Linked DNA regions of Arabidopsis thaliana. The protein of the gene in region 3 interacts with the protein of the main gene of each other region in a pairwise test. Each region holds a gene or a part of one and is shown on either strand. Other genes may lie near its edges.

Region 1 (5,221 bases), about 17 Mb from region 3:
TTATTTTAGCGATTTTGTTCTTGATATTGAATTGTGTATATATATCAACAAAACGAATTGAAGTGTTGTTTTGGACGAGTGTATATATATCTACTTTATTAAAGAAAATTGTTTGTAGAAGACAACATCACCTGCAATGCTTTATAATTCTAGTGTTCTTGTTTTTCTTTTACAGGGATTAATTTCCAAAACTTTTCTTTCGTTCGCCAGTTTAGTTTCTTTTATTTGGAATTTTGTATTTTACTTTGGTTCCTATAGGCTACGCGTAACATTGGCACATACTACTTTTTCATGTATGTAAGTAATTTCTGTAAAAGGCTACATTAAAGTCAATACTCTCCGTTTTGGGTTTCAGTGAAATCTAAAAAATGTCAATTTTACTTTTGAAGTTGCAACTTTCAGATAGCAACAAGAGCGAACGAGACAAATGCCTCAGGTTTCAGTGTACAGCTCCACTAAATGGTTTTCGGGTGCTATTATTTGTTTCATATAAATACATAAATACTACTCCATTTTTTCTAATTTAATGAGTAGTATTAACAAAAAAAAGAGTTATAGATAATGCTAAGTCTAAAGACCGGGGTAAATTCAAGGTAATACAAGTCAACAACTAAAAAAAACTAATTAAGGTAGTGAATTGAGTTCACGCAATTAAATAAACTAGTTAAACGAGTAATTTGGACGAGGGTGAAGTTGCTACATGATCATAGTGGAGTTTAATTTACAAAAGAATAGGATAACAAAACTATATATATATATATATATATAACGTAGTGTCAAATAAATTAATTAGTGTGTTATTTTCAAATATACCCATAAAATCCTTTTATTTTCTAAAGAAAACACAAAATAAATAATCGAATTTAAGTATGATTTTTATCCATTATTTTTGCCAAATAGAGGGTTCTTTACTGCATATATTCCTTAAATAAAGGAAAGAGGTGACTATTATCCTAATTTCTTAAGTAAGAATGCGATTGTGAAAGTTTTGATATATCCAACTTTACAAAAAAAGAAAAAAAAGCATTGCATGTGATGAGAATCCATCTCCCCCATCCTCCCACCCATTCTTTCCAACTCAACCATCTCCTTTCTCTTCCTATTAATAAAGTATCATCTTCTTTTTGTTTCTCTTTTTATTTTTTAATGAAAAATAAAACTTTTAAAAAAATTTGTATTTACTTCAATTTTCTTACAGTTCCACTTGGATAGACAAATGCCCTTTAATGAGATGGTGGTGGACTTTAAGTATATGTTATACGCACAACACACACACACACACACACTTTTATAGACATGTTTTTTAATAAAGAAAATTCTTTCGAACATATTCCAGATCTCTAATTTTTCTTTTGTTTGAGATGTTATATAGAATTGGTCTCAGCTGACACTCAAAAACCAGATCTGACTCTAGGGTTTTGTGTTTGTTTTTTGTTTTTCTTGTAAGAAAAACTATATATTGGAAATTTTCTGATTCGTCTCACTTGTGGGCACAGTATTCATATTTGATTAAAACCTATTTCTTATATAAAAAGGCATGAGATGATGGCACCACATTGTATATTTGTATATATACGGAAACATAAATTGGGTATATGCATGTGTCTTATATTCAAAACAAATATTCTCAAGTCCCTTCCCTTTTTAATTTACACCAGCCCTATAGCTAAAGGCTACACATATATACATTTGTCACCATTAAAAAACATGTACTGTTAAACATCAAATTTCCAAGATTCCGTTTATATTTTTCACCTATCCTTTTTTTTATTTATCTTTGAAAAACAAAACTTACTCACTCTGATCGAATATTTTATGATATGAAATAATAATGACTTGTAATTGTTGTGTAGTGGAAGGGGATGTTTTTTTGTTTCTTGTCCTGATGCTAATGTGGGCTCCAAGCTCCTTGTCCCACTCTCTTTATATGTATAAACATCTCTCTCCATAGATATGTTTTGTGTTTGTAAACAAACAGTGTACAGATAGAGAAGAGAGAGGTTCATAACTACTCTGAAGAAGATTGAAGCACCAAAGACCATACAATGCATTTCTCCATCTAAGGTGAGAGGTCAATGAAACAATTAACAAAAAGTTGAAAGTTTCATTTATTTTTTTCTTTTCCAAGAAAATTATAAAAAGTTGGATAGTAAAAGGGAACAGAAAAGCTATTATCCCTTTATGTGAGAAAAAAAATAAAGATGATTTCAGAAAAACAAAGCCCTTTGTTTCTCTCTCTTAACTCATCTTATACTTTCTTCTTCTATTAGTAAAGATGAGTACTCTCTCTACCAAATAAATAAGGAAACATAAAAAACAATCTCTCCTTCTTTCTCTACATGAAAAACAAAAGATTCCTCAATTTTGTTCTTATTTTTCATTTAGTCACAGTACCTCTCTCACTATAAACCACACTGTCTTGAGATAAAATACAAAAAGAGAAGAGATTAAAAACCTCATCCGATGATAGACTACGAGAGAAGCAATACCACCAAGAACATCAACACCCATCATCACAACCCTCCTCCATCTTCATCTTCCTCTGATCTTCTTCCCGACGGTAATGGAACCGCCGTGACTCAGAAGCGGAAACGGAGACCCGCCGGGACACCGGGTATTTAACAATTTTCTTATCAAGAATTACTAGTTGTTAGATTCTATATCCGGAAAGTTATCAAATAGTTCTGTTAAAGATTTTGATTTATCCGGTGGCAGATCCGGAGGCGGAGGTGGTATCTTTATCACCAAGAACGTTACTAGAATCGGATCGGTACGTATGTGAGATCTGTAACCAAGGGTTTCAAAGGGACCAGAATCTACAGATGCATAGAAGACGACATAAAGTTCCATGGAAGCTTCTTAAAAGAGAGACCAACGAGGAAGTGAGGAAAAGAGTCTACGTCTGTCCGGAGCCGACATGTCTCCACCACAACCCTTGCCACGCGCTCGGAGATCTCGTGGGAATCAAGAAACACTTCCGACGGAAACATAGTAACCACAAGCAATGGATCTGCGAGCGATGCTCAAAAGGCTACGCAGTTCAATCTGATTACAAAGCTCATCTCAAAACCTGTGGCACTCGCGGCCACTCCTGTGACTGCGGCCGAGTTTTTTCCAGGTTCCATTCCTTAGTAACAAACCCTAGCTTTTTAATTTTTATTTTTATTATATATTTAGGATATATATTTATCGGAATCCTTAAAGTAAATCAAAGAATGTTTTTTCTAGTATGGCGTGTCCATGTTTTGATTTTTAGATAACGCACATAGATCTTGAAACAACGTTTACTAATGGAACCTGATGAGGTTTGTTTGGATGTACTGTTGTCTGAAAATACTTTTAATTAATTTAATAATTAGGAACTATGTTTTGATTACTCACGTTGACCCCATAATAGATTTCATTATCAAACTTTGTTAAGTATATACCATACTAAACCTCGAAGTCTTGCATATCTCATACTCAAATATATAATCCAAAAGATACCTAACTCCACTAACTTAATTATTTATATTATCTGTCACGAGATACAAATATTCCTTTGTGCTTTCCATTTTAGTTTAACTTATATAATACACTCTTATTTCTCAGAGTGGAAAGTTTCATAGAGCACCAAGACACTTGCACCGTACGCCGATCCCAACCCTCCAACCACCGTTTACATGAGCAGCAACAACATACCACAAACGCTACACAAACCGCTTCAACCGCGGAAAACAACGAGAACGGGGACCTCTCCATTGGTCCTATATTGCCTGGACATCCTTTACAAAGAAGACAATCCCCACCGTCGGAACAACAACCATCCACTTTGCTCTATCCCTTCGTTACTAATGGTAGTATCGAGCTTCAGCTACTTCCATCGAGGAATTGTGCTGATGAGACCAGCCTTAGTCTGTCTATAGGGACAATGGATCAAAAGACAATGTCGGAAGTTGAGAAGAAGAGCTACGAGAAGGGAGAAACGAGCCTAGAAAGAGAGGAGGCGAGAAGAGAAACAAAGAGGCAGATCGAAATCGCGGAATTGGAGTTTGCTGAAGCCAAGAGAATAAGGCAACATGCGAGAGCTGAGCTTCACAAAGCTCATCTTTTTAGAGAAGAAGCAAGTAGGAGGATTAGTGCAACGATGATGCAAATAACTTGCCACAATTGCAAGCAACATTTTCAAGCTCCGGCTGCTTTGGTTCCTCCTCCTCCTCAGACGCATTGTACCGATGAGAGCACGTCTCTGGCCGTGAGCTACATGTCTTCGGCGACTACCGAAGGAGAAAAGGCGAGTGATAGAGCATCTTCATAGACCTTGAAGAGAGAACACAAAAGAAAACAAATATTCTTCTTTTTTTTCTTTGATTGGAATTAAAGATCATCTTTTGATATTCGTTGGTTTTCTTACATATTCTTGGTTTGTGGGTTACCAGGTTTGGGTATTCACTGGGGGTTTGATTTTTTTTCTCTCAAACAAAAACCAAAGAAGAGAATAGTTTTTGTTGTATGAATTGTCTTGGGTCTGTTGGTTAACGTAATGTAATGAACGGGTTATAATTCTCAAGCATTCGTTAATTAGTTAGCTACAGAAATGTTGTTTTTCCATAGAGATAACTGATCTTAATTTTCAGTTTGGTTTGAGACTTTGAGTGTTTTGGATTTTATAGTTGAACTATTGTGACTTAAAAGTATTACCAATTCCTATTGTTCACACGAATATCTGCATTTTTCTTTTCTTTTCAGTCAATTATTTGCATTAAATGCAAGGGATAATAATTAGGTCAAATCGTGAGTCAAATTCTCAGGTAGAAACTAGAAACAATTCGCTCCATATCCCACGTCCGTGTAGACTGTAGTTTGAAATCGTCTAATTGAATGGTAAAATATTAAAATCTAATTCGATTAATTGTAGATTTTATTTGGATTTTGTGGGTTTTTGGTCTCAATGTGACCAAACAAGAAATCATATATTTTTACGTGAAGACAAAATCTCATGAGATATCTTTTGACCCTTATAGTTTGATGTGTTTTTCAAACACATAATAATAATATTTTTTTTAATGAATTTGAATTCATTAATAAAGTATGAGAGAGTTTGTAGAATATACCACCAAAAAAAAGATATTTAAAAAAAAAAACAAGAAAGAGCTAATGCAACAACAAACTGATTTGGTTTTCTCGATTAAACTTTAGGTTTATAGAAGAAAAAAAACCAATTTTGATCTCTGTGGACTTT
Region 2 (3,419 bases), on a different chromosome or scaffold from region 3:
GCTTTCAGATAAAAAAAACCAATATCTAGACTAGTCATAGTTGTTTCTTTAGAGACTTTGTGTACTCTTTTTCCATTTTTTGCCGACAAAAATTTGTTTACGAAACTAGAGATCTTTCTTAAAAAAAATTGAACAAAATCTTATCTTTGTTTTGTGGCAGTTTCTTTTCCAAATTTAAGAATCTATCAAATTAAAAATCTAGGTTCTCTCTGTCAGACCTAAAGAGTGTTAACTCTCAGCTTCAAGACTCTTCCAAGTTAGCTAGAAAGAAAAGAAATGAGTATGTCCGTACTCTGTGAGTGGACCCTACTACTAAGTGACGTAAGCGCAAAGAATTTTCTAACTTACGCCGCAGAGAGCAAAACGAGGGCCCACACACGCCGGCTGCGTGTCTGCTGGAAACTTGGACCATTGTTAAAAGCCGACGATACTCAACTACCATTTTATTAATCTCACTTTGAATTTTAGTTTTTCTTATACTTCAACTTACAATTATTTTGTTTTGTCAAATAAGTAATTTTAGTCCCTTCAATTTTTTTAATTTGGTGGTAACGATAGAAAAGGAAAGCCAATAGAAGGAGCCGCCACAACCCACAAGTAGTAATAATCAAAATTTCGGAAATTGGATTGGACAAGATAATTCTGAAGATTACCAAATTATTGATTGAAAATTTGGAAGAACAAAAAAAAAAAAAGTAGTAAAAAAAATAGAGAAACAACATGGGGTGAAACCAAGTCGCAAAAAATTAAAAGCACACAACAAAAGTTCAGATCTCCGGTTATGTAATAATATGTACATAACGATCCATGTCAGCTAAAATTATATTTTTCTCTCTCAGATTTAATCTGTTTTTTCTTTCTAAAAACTGGTAATAAATTTAGACTGAGAGAGAGAGAGAGGAAAAACTATGAGAAAACGAATTTTCACAGCTCAAAAAGAAGAAGAAACGCATGCGCTTCGAATTGAAACGACACCGTTAAAAGCTCAGGCCTGTTCCGATGGAGGAGGCAAATTAAGATCTAGATCTAACAGCTGAGATCTCTTCTCCATCCCACCTTCGAAATCAACGACCGATGACGAATCAGAGTCGCTTTGGGCACCACAAGCCATCTTCGTCGCAACATGCACCACCGGCGATCTAAACGCCGATGTCACAGGAGGAGGCTGACCACGACCTACGTTACCGATCCCCATCAGGTCCAAAAAGTAGACAGGACGCGACATCGGGATCTGATAACACGAGCCGCCGCCTCCTCCGCCGAGACTAAGCTCGAGCTGCGGGGGAACATTCCCAGCCGTCGCTGAAGGCACAACTAACGTCGGAGGAGAAGCACAGTCGAGCGTGCTGCTCTGGCTAGGGCTACGCGCGAAACCGGTAGGGACCTTCTGGTCACTCAGCTCGAGAAAAGTTGGGAAATTGGTCTTAGCCTTAGCACCACGAAAATCACGCGCCGCCGTATCGTAAGCACGCGCCGCCTCTTCAGCCGTATCGAAAGTGCCAAGCCAGACGCGGGTTTTCTTGCCCGGATCTCGGATCTCGGCGGCATAACGGCCCCAAGGACGCTTCCTAACGCCTCTGTAACGAATCTCCTTGGCATTATTGTGGGTCTGGTTAGTAGTAGCCGGGTCGGGTTTCAAGCCCATCTTGGCCATTCTCGGATAGATAGATTAGAGAGAGAGTGGTGGTGTGATAGATAATTGAAGGGAGAAGAGGAAAGGAGAGAGTTGTTTATATATAGGATGGGAGAGAGAGTAAAAGCGACGCTCCTTTTGGGGCGCTTTGTTGTGAACAGTCAAAGCCTGAAATGGTTTTAGCGGCTTCTCTTACAAAACACCAGCGGTTTTCATGGTTTTCTTTTTTACCTCCACTTATCTTTTGCCACGTGTTTTTCTTTCCTCTTTCAAAGAATTTTGTTTTTCTTATCAACCCTTCATTTCTTTTTTAACCTCACCAAGCGTTTTCAATTTTTGTTGATCATCTTATTAATGAATTTATTGATGTATTTAAAAAGTTGAATACATTGTCAAAAATATAGATACAAATTAAATACATTAATTTGATTGACTTTAATTTTAAAATAAAACTTTTTATCACTGGATCTTTAATTTAATTATTAATATTTGGCAATGAGAAAATTAATTGGACTATGTAATCTTTGCATTAAAGTTCTTAATGAAATAAGGATAAATTTTGAAATATAGATCTTACTATGATACATATTTAATCAATCCGTATTTTGAATGATTTATTTTGTGGTGGAAAATATTGGATGCAAAGTCTTTTTTTTTTTTTTTTGTGTAAACTATTTTATCTAAAAAGTGAAATTCATTTGTTATCTGTATGTACAATGTACTAACAAACTTTTGATACAATTTGTAACAAAAAAACTAAAGAAATCCGTACAGTATTTGACGCATTTAATGGAGATGCATGTTGTTTGCTGTTTTGTCTACACAGCGTATTCCCTTGAATGCTGGTGATAAGATTTTGATTTTCATAACCGAGGGAATTAAGAATGTAATCCCACATCTTAATTTAATATATATAGTTAATCTAACTACGAATTGTCATGTGCCATTTACCCTCATGATTTAGGATATAACTACACAAGCTTGCTCTAGTGAGTACACTTGTAATGAACTCAGTTTGTTTTCTCATAACCTGTTGGATCAACCTTAATGCTTGCATAATTGAGAAAAAAACTTGAACAAATATGTGAGTAACTAATTTTTCAGATCATATCAATTTTGTTTTCGTATCTCAAAACTTTTGGTTTAAAAAATACCCAATTTTTTGTAAGACCAATAAACAACTAAAGATACTGTTATGTGTGTAAAAATTTGAAAATACAGGTAAATAAAGTCATACTATATGGCAGTGTGAGTTAAAGACAAGAGTAACTTCAAAAACTAGGAAATAAGTTAAGCAGCGGCGCCTGAAAAGAAGAGAGAAGAAGAAACCAAAGAACAGTATTGGATGACGCAAAAATGTAAAATACGTGGCAACACCTTGAGGACGCGCGGCTTGGGAACCGCGTTTCCATGTACGAGCGTGAATCTCACCGCCAAACACGTGCCGACGGCGATCGCGTGAAAGAAAGAGCGTTATGCGTGACTTCGTAGACTCAGCTCCAAATTCAACTTGGAGTTTGACTGCTTTTTCTTTCGCGGAATAAAACTAAAATAAAAACAAAAGGCTATTTAGCCGCCCCTCCGCCAAAGAAAAACAAAGATGGCCCACAACGCACTCGCTATTTAAATAAAATAGAAAGAGTTTTAAAGATGTATAGTGCCACGTGGTCAACGCGACGCGTGGAGAATGGATGAAGAGAGAGAGAGAATGGTGGCCGCGTCGGCTAACCGAGAGAGATTCTAACGGCGGTGGGCCCGCCGTTTGTTTTGTTCTTTGTTTCCTAAA
Region 3 (4,291 bases):
TGTAGGTGTGACTTGTCGTCTTTGGCCTAGTTCTTCTCGCCGGTATGGATTCCTTGGAACTCTTCTATGTAAGGTAGTCTTCATCGTAATAGGTGGCACCGCTGTCCGTTTGGTTGGGAGTTCCTTGTCTCCTACGGAGTGGCTTGTTGTAAAGCTCTGCCTTTCCTTTGTCTGGTAATGTGGTTGACGAGATGTTGTGTTTAAAATTTTGGTTGTTTTGGTCTGCTTCTTTGTTTCAGTTTCGCAACTTTGCTTTGTTTGTAAGGTTTGTTTTGCCTTGTTGTCTCCCTTTCCTTTGGGTTTTGCTTCCAAGACTATCCTTTTAATCGTCGGCTTAGTTTTCTGGTGTTACTTGTTAACCGCCGGCTTTATATTTCACTTTTGTATTTCACCGGAATCTCTATAATAAATTTTCAGACGACAAAAAAAAAAAGTAACTTAGAAAGGTCAAATGTCAAAACAAAAAGTGTTTTTTTTTTAGTAAGTGTTTTTCTCCATCGTACGTACAAAAGCATTGAGCGCGCGAAGTCAAGAAGGATCTTTATTATGATAGGTTAACAAAGATTCTTACTAAAGTACTGTTTCATGGAATGTTAAAACATTCATGGAATAAGAGTAGTCATGAATGCAAAAGTAGAATTTTTTTTATAGAGTCAATGCATGTCTCTTCAAATTAAGTTCAAAGTTGACAAGTACTACGAAATTACTGAACAAACTCGCTCATTCCCAAGGACTCTTCTCGAACACACACAAATCCTACTTCCGTTTCAGATTCTTCTTCTCTCTATCTCTCTCCAACAACAGAAACCCTAAACCAACATAATCAAACCCTAGAAGAAAAGAGTCACCATCACATGTCATACGCCATTATTTATTTTTTTGTTAAATTTTCATATCCCAAATTGTTATTACTCAAATGGAGATTTTCCCCAAATGGAATGCCTCTGAGCCTTTCTCTCTCGGAACCCATTATTGCTTTCTTCATGGTCCTGCATCACAAACATTTCAACAATTATTTGGTATATTAATTGAAAACTATACATATTCAGCTTCAATGTTTTAAATTAGTTGAATGGGTTTCTATAAAAGTAAACTGTGTGCAGTGTAAGCTTCAATACTATAAAAGGGTTTAGGTCATAAATTTCACACATTGTAGTAGTTGAAGATCAATGATATATTCTCACAATCTCACTTACCCTTCTCCTTGCTTTCACTCTAATAATTAGTAAATGATTTCTCTTTATATAATTAGTCTAGCTAGGGTTCTGAAATTTTGACTGAGAGCGATGCTATTTGGATCTAGTTAATGCTTTAATTATTTGGTTTGCTTTGGAAAATGACACTTGTTGTGGAGTTTACTTGTCAAGAATATGGTAATTGATTTTGAAGCGAAAGTGATTAAAAAATATAAATGGTTGCTGAGGATTACCTCAAAAACATTGCATGGTAGTATCGCATTGTTATCTTCCTCACAAAAACATTGATCTGAAGCAGCTCTCTTGTTGTGAGCTGGAGGAAAATGGGCCCACTTCGCCATCCCCAAATCAAAAAATTGAAATCATAAAATGTTATTAGCTAACTCGATCTGTCAATTAAGCTAACAAAAAGATGAAAACTATATTAGGGTTTTCTTTTAAATCTTAAGACTAATTAAGCTTAAGTACATTTTTGGCAGCTAAGCTGAAAGCTTCCTTGTGAGCCATGCTTGGATTCTGAGCCTTTAACCTCCTGATCTCTTCCCTGCTCCAATACAACCCCCAAAGAAGAACCATTTTACAAACTCAAAACCTTAAGTGGTTAAATTTGTAAGAATATATATAATATACATACACATGTAATGTGTTGAATTTATTTCTTACTTGATGAAGCAATTGTAAGCTGAAGGAGCTCTTTGTCGCTTCTCAGGTGCTATATATATACAAACTCAAAACATAATTAGACGACTGATGAAAGGAGAAATCGCAAAACTAAAGTTTAAGTTGAATTTATACTCAAACGTACGTTTATTGACAACTTGGTAAACACGAGACACATCTTCATCTTCATTGTCTGAAGATGAAACCAAAGTCGTTGGACTGTTCTCCTTCTCCTGATTCACCTTCCATGCTTCTTCTTCCACACCATCTGTAGCTGCAACCTCCTCTTTCCCGGTCTGCACATATATTTACATATAATCAAAAGTAAGTATATATATATATATATTGGTCATATTTAGATGGTGTGTGTTTGTCTATGTATAGATGTTATGGAAACCTCATCAAGATGGGAGAGAGAAGCAAGGAGATGGAGAGGAATGAAGGAAGCCTTCATCAAATTGACAGAGAGAAGGCTTGTGCAATGCCCACATCTCACAGTCACCACCATTGACAAGCTTGTAAACGGTACACTCACCTGCAACACATTTACACTCATTAAACTCATGATCATATATATAAAGAGAGGAAGGGAGAAAGGAAGGGAGAGAATAAGAGAAGAAGTTAAGGTATACCAGCAAAATAGTGGTGCAAAAACCACACTGGACATGGCAAATCTGCCCCGGCAGATCAAATAGATGGTTGAGTGTTGTCGTCATGTTGGGGAGCTTTGTCATAGAGAGTGTGTGTGTACGATGAATGATAGGAGATATATGTGTGTGTGTGTGTGTGTATATATAGACAGAGAGATAGGTTTTGTTAATATTCATTAATGCAAATATGTAATTATATTTATATCTTTCATGTGGAATGCTTTGGTTATATGCTAAAATGCACAATACAATTCAACTTATGTACGTCTCTATCTCACTTGTAATAATTGGAATCTTCATAGTCTCTATGAGCTGTAAGCAGTAAATGATTCTCATTCTTTCTATTAATCACATTCCTAACTCCTTAATATTCAAACTACATTTTCTTCTCTAAAATAAAATAAAATAAAATGATGTATATAATACTTTTGTTGATGATGGAGTTTAATTAAGAATTTTCGTTATACAAAAGCATTGTTATAAGATTTTTATGTTATGTCACACTCACAAAATATATATGACAAATGATACATAACGTTTGAGCGTTTACCATTAGAGGAGACATTTTTTGTTGTCAAAACAATTTAAAACACTTAATAACCTATAAACAGAAAATATATAAGCTCCCTTCAAAAACCATTTCAGGATTTTTCTGATAAATAAGCATACAAGATAATATGTGTTATTGTAAGATAACACTAGGTTAAACAAAAAAATAACAAGAGATAAAAATCGATGGTAAAGAGTATGAGTATTAAAAATGAACATGTGAAAATGGAAAGGCACGTTGCACAAGAGGAGATAGATAGACATCGAAGAGAGCTGGGGTTAATAAATGATGTGATGTGGTGGTGTGGTTTGGTTTGCAAGTTAGAAAGAAAGAAAAAAACAAGTGAGGTTGAGAAAGAAATGCCTCTTTGTCTCATGTGTAGTTGTCTCTTTAAATGGGATTTAATGAATCTCTCACAAAACTCAACAGTCTTTTGGAGTTTTGGTTGAAGTGAGACTGAAAATGAAAGTGCAGTGAGTTGAGACTAGTGCGGGTGTTTCTAGGAGACTCATCACTTTTAGTAACTCGGAATCTTAGGATTTTGTCTTTCTTCTCTCACATTTTTGCTAACTGTTTCTTGACCATTTTACCCAAACTCTTCTCTCTCTCTCTCTCTCTATTTCTTCAAGTTTCAGTGCTTTCTCTCTGTGTCATGTTATTTCTACTGTCCCTCTCTTTATTGCTTTCTCTCTCTCTCACTTACTCTCATCTCCTATTTTGTGTTCAACCACAAGAAAAAGACTAAACATAATACTAATATTTACTCAATTTCCTACACATTTGTAATTTTTGTGTGGGTGGAATCCAATGCAATGACCCAACCCCGGAGTGAACAAGTTTCGACCCATTTTGAGAGATCACATAATTTACCGACCCATTAATAAGTTTCGATCCATTTTCATAAGCCTATTGATGAGTAATTGAGTAGGAGGTACACATTTGTGATTTGAGAGATTAGAGGTTAAAATTATACATTGTAATCATAGTTATGGCTTCTGGTTTAACAGTCTTTTACTCCATATATACTGATATACATCTCATTTCTAGTCTCAAACTTTTACATGACAGCTTATAGATTGGTCAAATCTCACTGTTAACATAAATAGAAGCTGTGAAATGACGATAAAATGTGCAAAGACAAACGCACGTTAATGTCAAACACATAATCAATATCTGAGAGAATTTAAACTTATCTTAGCAAACAAGTTATCAGAGCCAACAACAACAAAACTTCA

Evidence for each region.
Region 1: the proteins of INO (region 3) and IDD14 interact in binary tests that used the Arabidopsis thaliana proteins (3 or more experiments, as listed by UniProt).
Region 2: the proteins of INO (region 3) and ERF4 interact in binary tests that used the Arabidopsis thaliana proteins (3 or more experiments, as listed by UniProt).

The regions. Positions count from the first base shown.
Region 1 is NC_003070.9:25,530,021-25,535,241, forward strand, and holds IDD14 (indeterminate(ID)-domain 14), read left to right. Parts: upstream 1-1,987; 5' UTR 1,988-2,463; coding exon 2,464-2,614; exon of another isoform or gene 2,615-2,715; coding exon 2,716-3,118; intron 3,119-3,591; coding exon 3,592-4,297; 3' UTR 4,298-4,658; downstream 4,659-5,221. UniProt on the Arabidopsis thaliana protein: Transcription factor regulating starch metabolism by binding directly to the promoter of QQS. The IDD14beta isoform attenuates the transcription factor activity by competitively forming heterodimers with reduced DNA-binding capacity.
Region 2 is NC_003074.8:5,119,707-5,123,125, reverse strand, and holds ERF4 (ethylene responsive element binding factor 4), read right to left. Parts: upstream 1,705-3,419; 5' UTR 1,655-1,704; coding exon 986-1,654; 3' UTR 564-985; downstream 1-563.
Region 3 is NC_003070.9:8,315,722-8,320,012, reverse strand, and holds INO (Plant-specific transcription factor YABBY family protein), read right to left. Parts: upstream 2,717-4,291; 5' UTR 2,684-2,716; coding exon 2,489-2,683; intron 2,392-2,488; coding exon 2,254-2,391; intron 2,153-2,253; coding exon 2,002-2,152; intron 1,909-2,001; coding exon 1,860-1,908; intron 1,741-1,859; coding exon 1,665-1,740; intron 1,529-1,664; coding exon 1,430-1,528; intron 990-1,429; coding exon 909-989; 3' UTR 522-908; downstream 1-521. UniProt on the Arabidopsis thaliana protein: Essential for the formation and the abaxial-adaxial asymmetric growth of the ovule outer integument.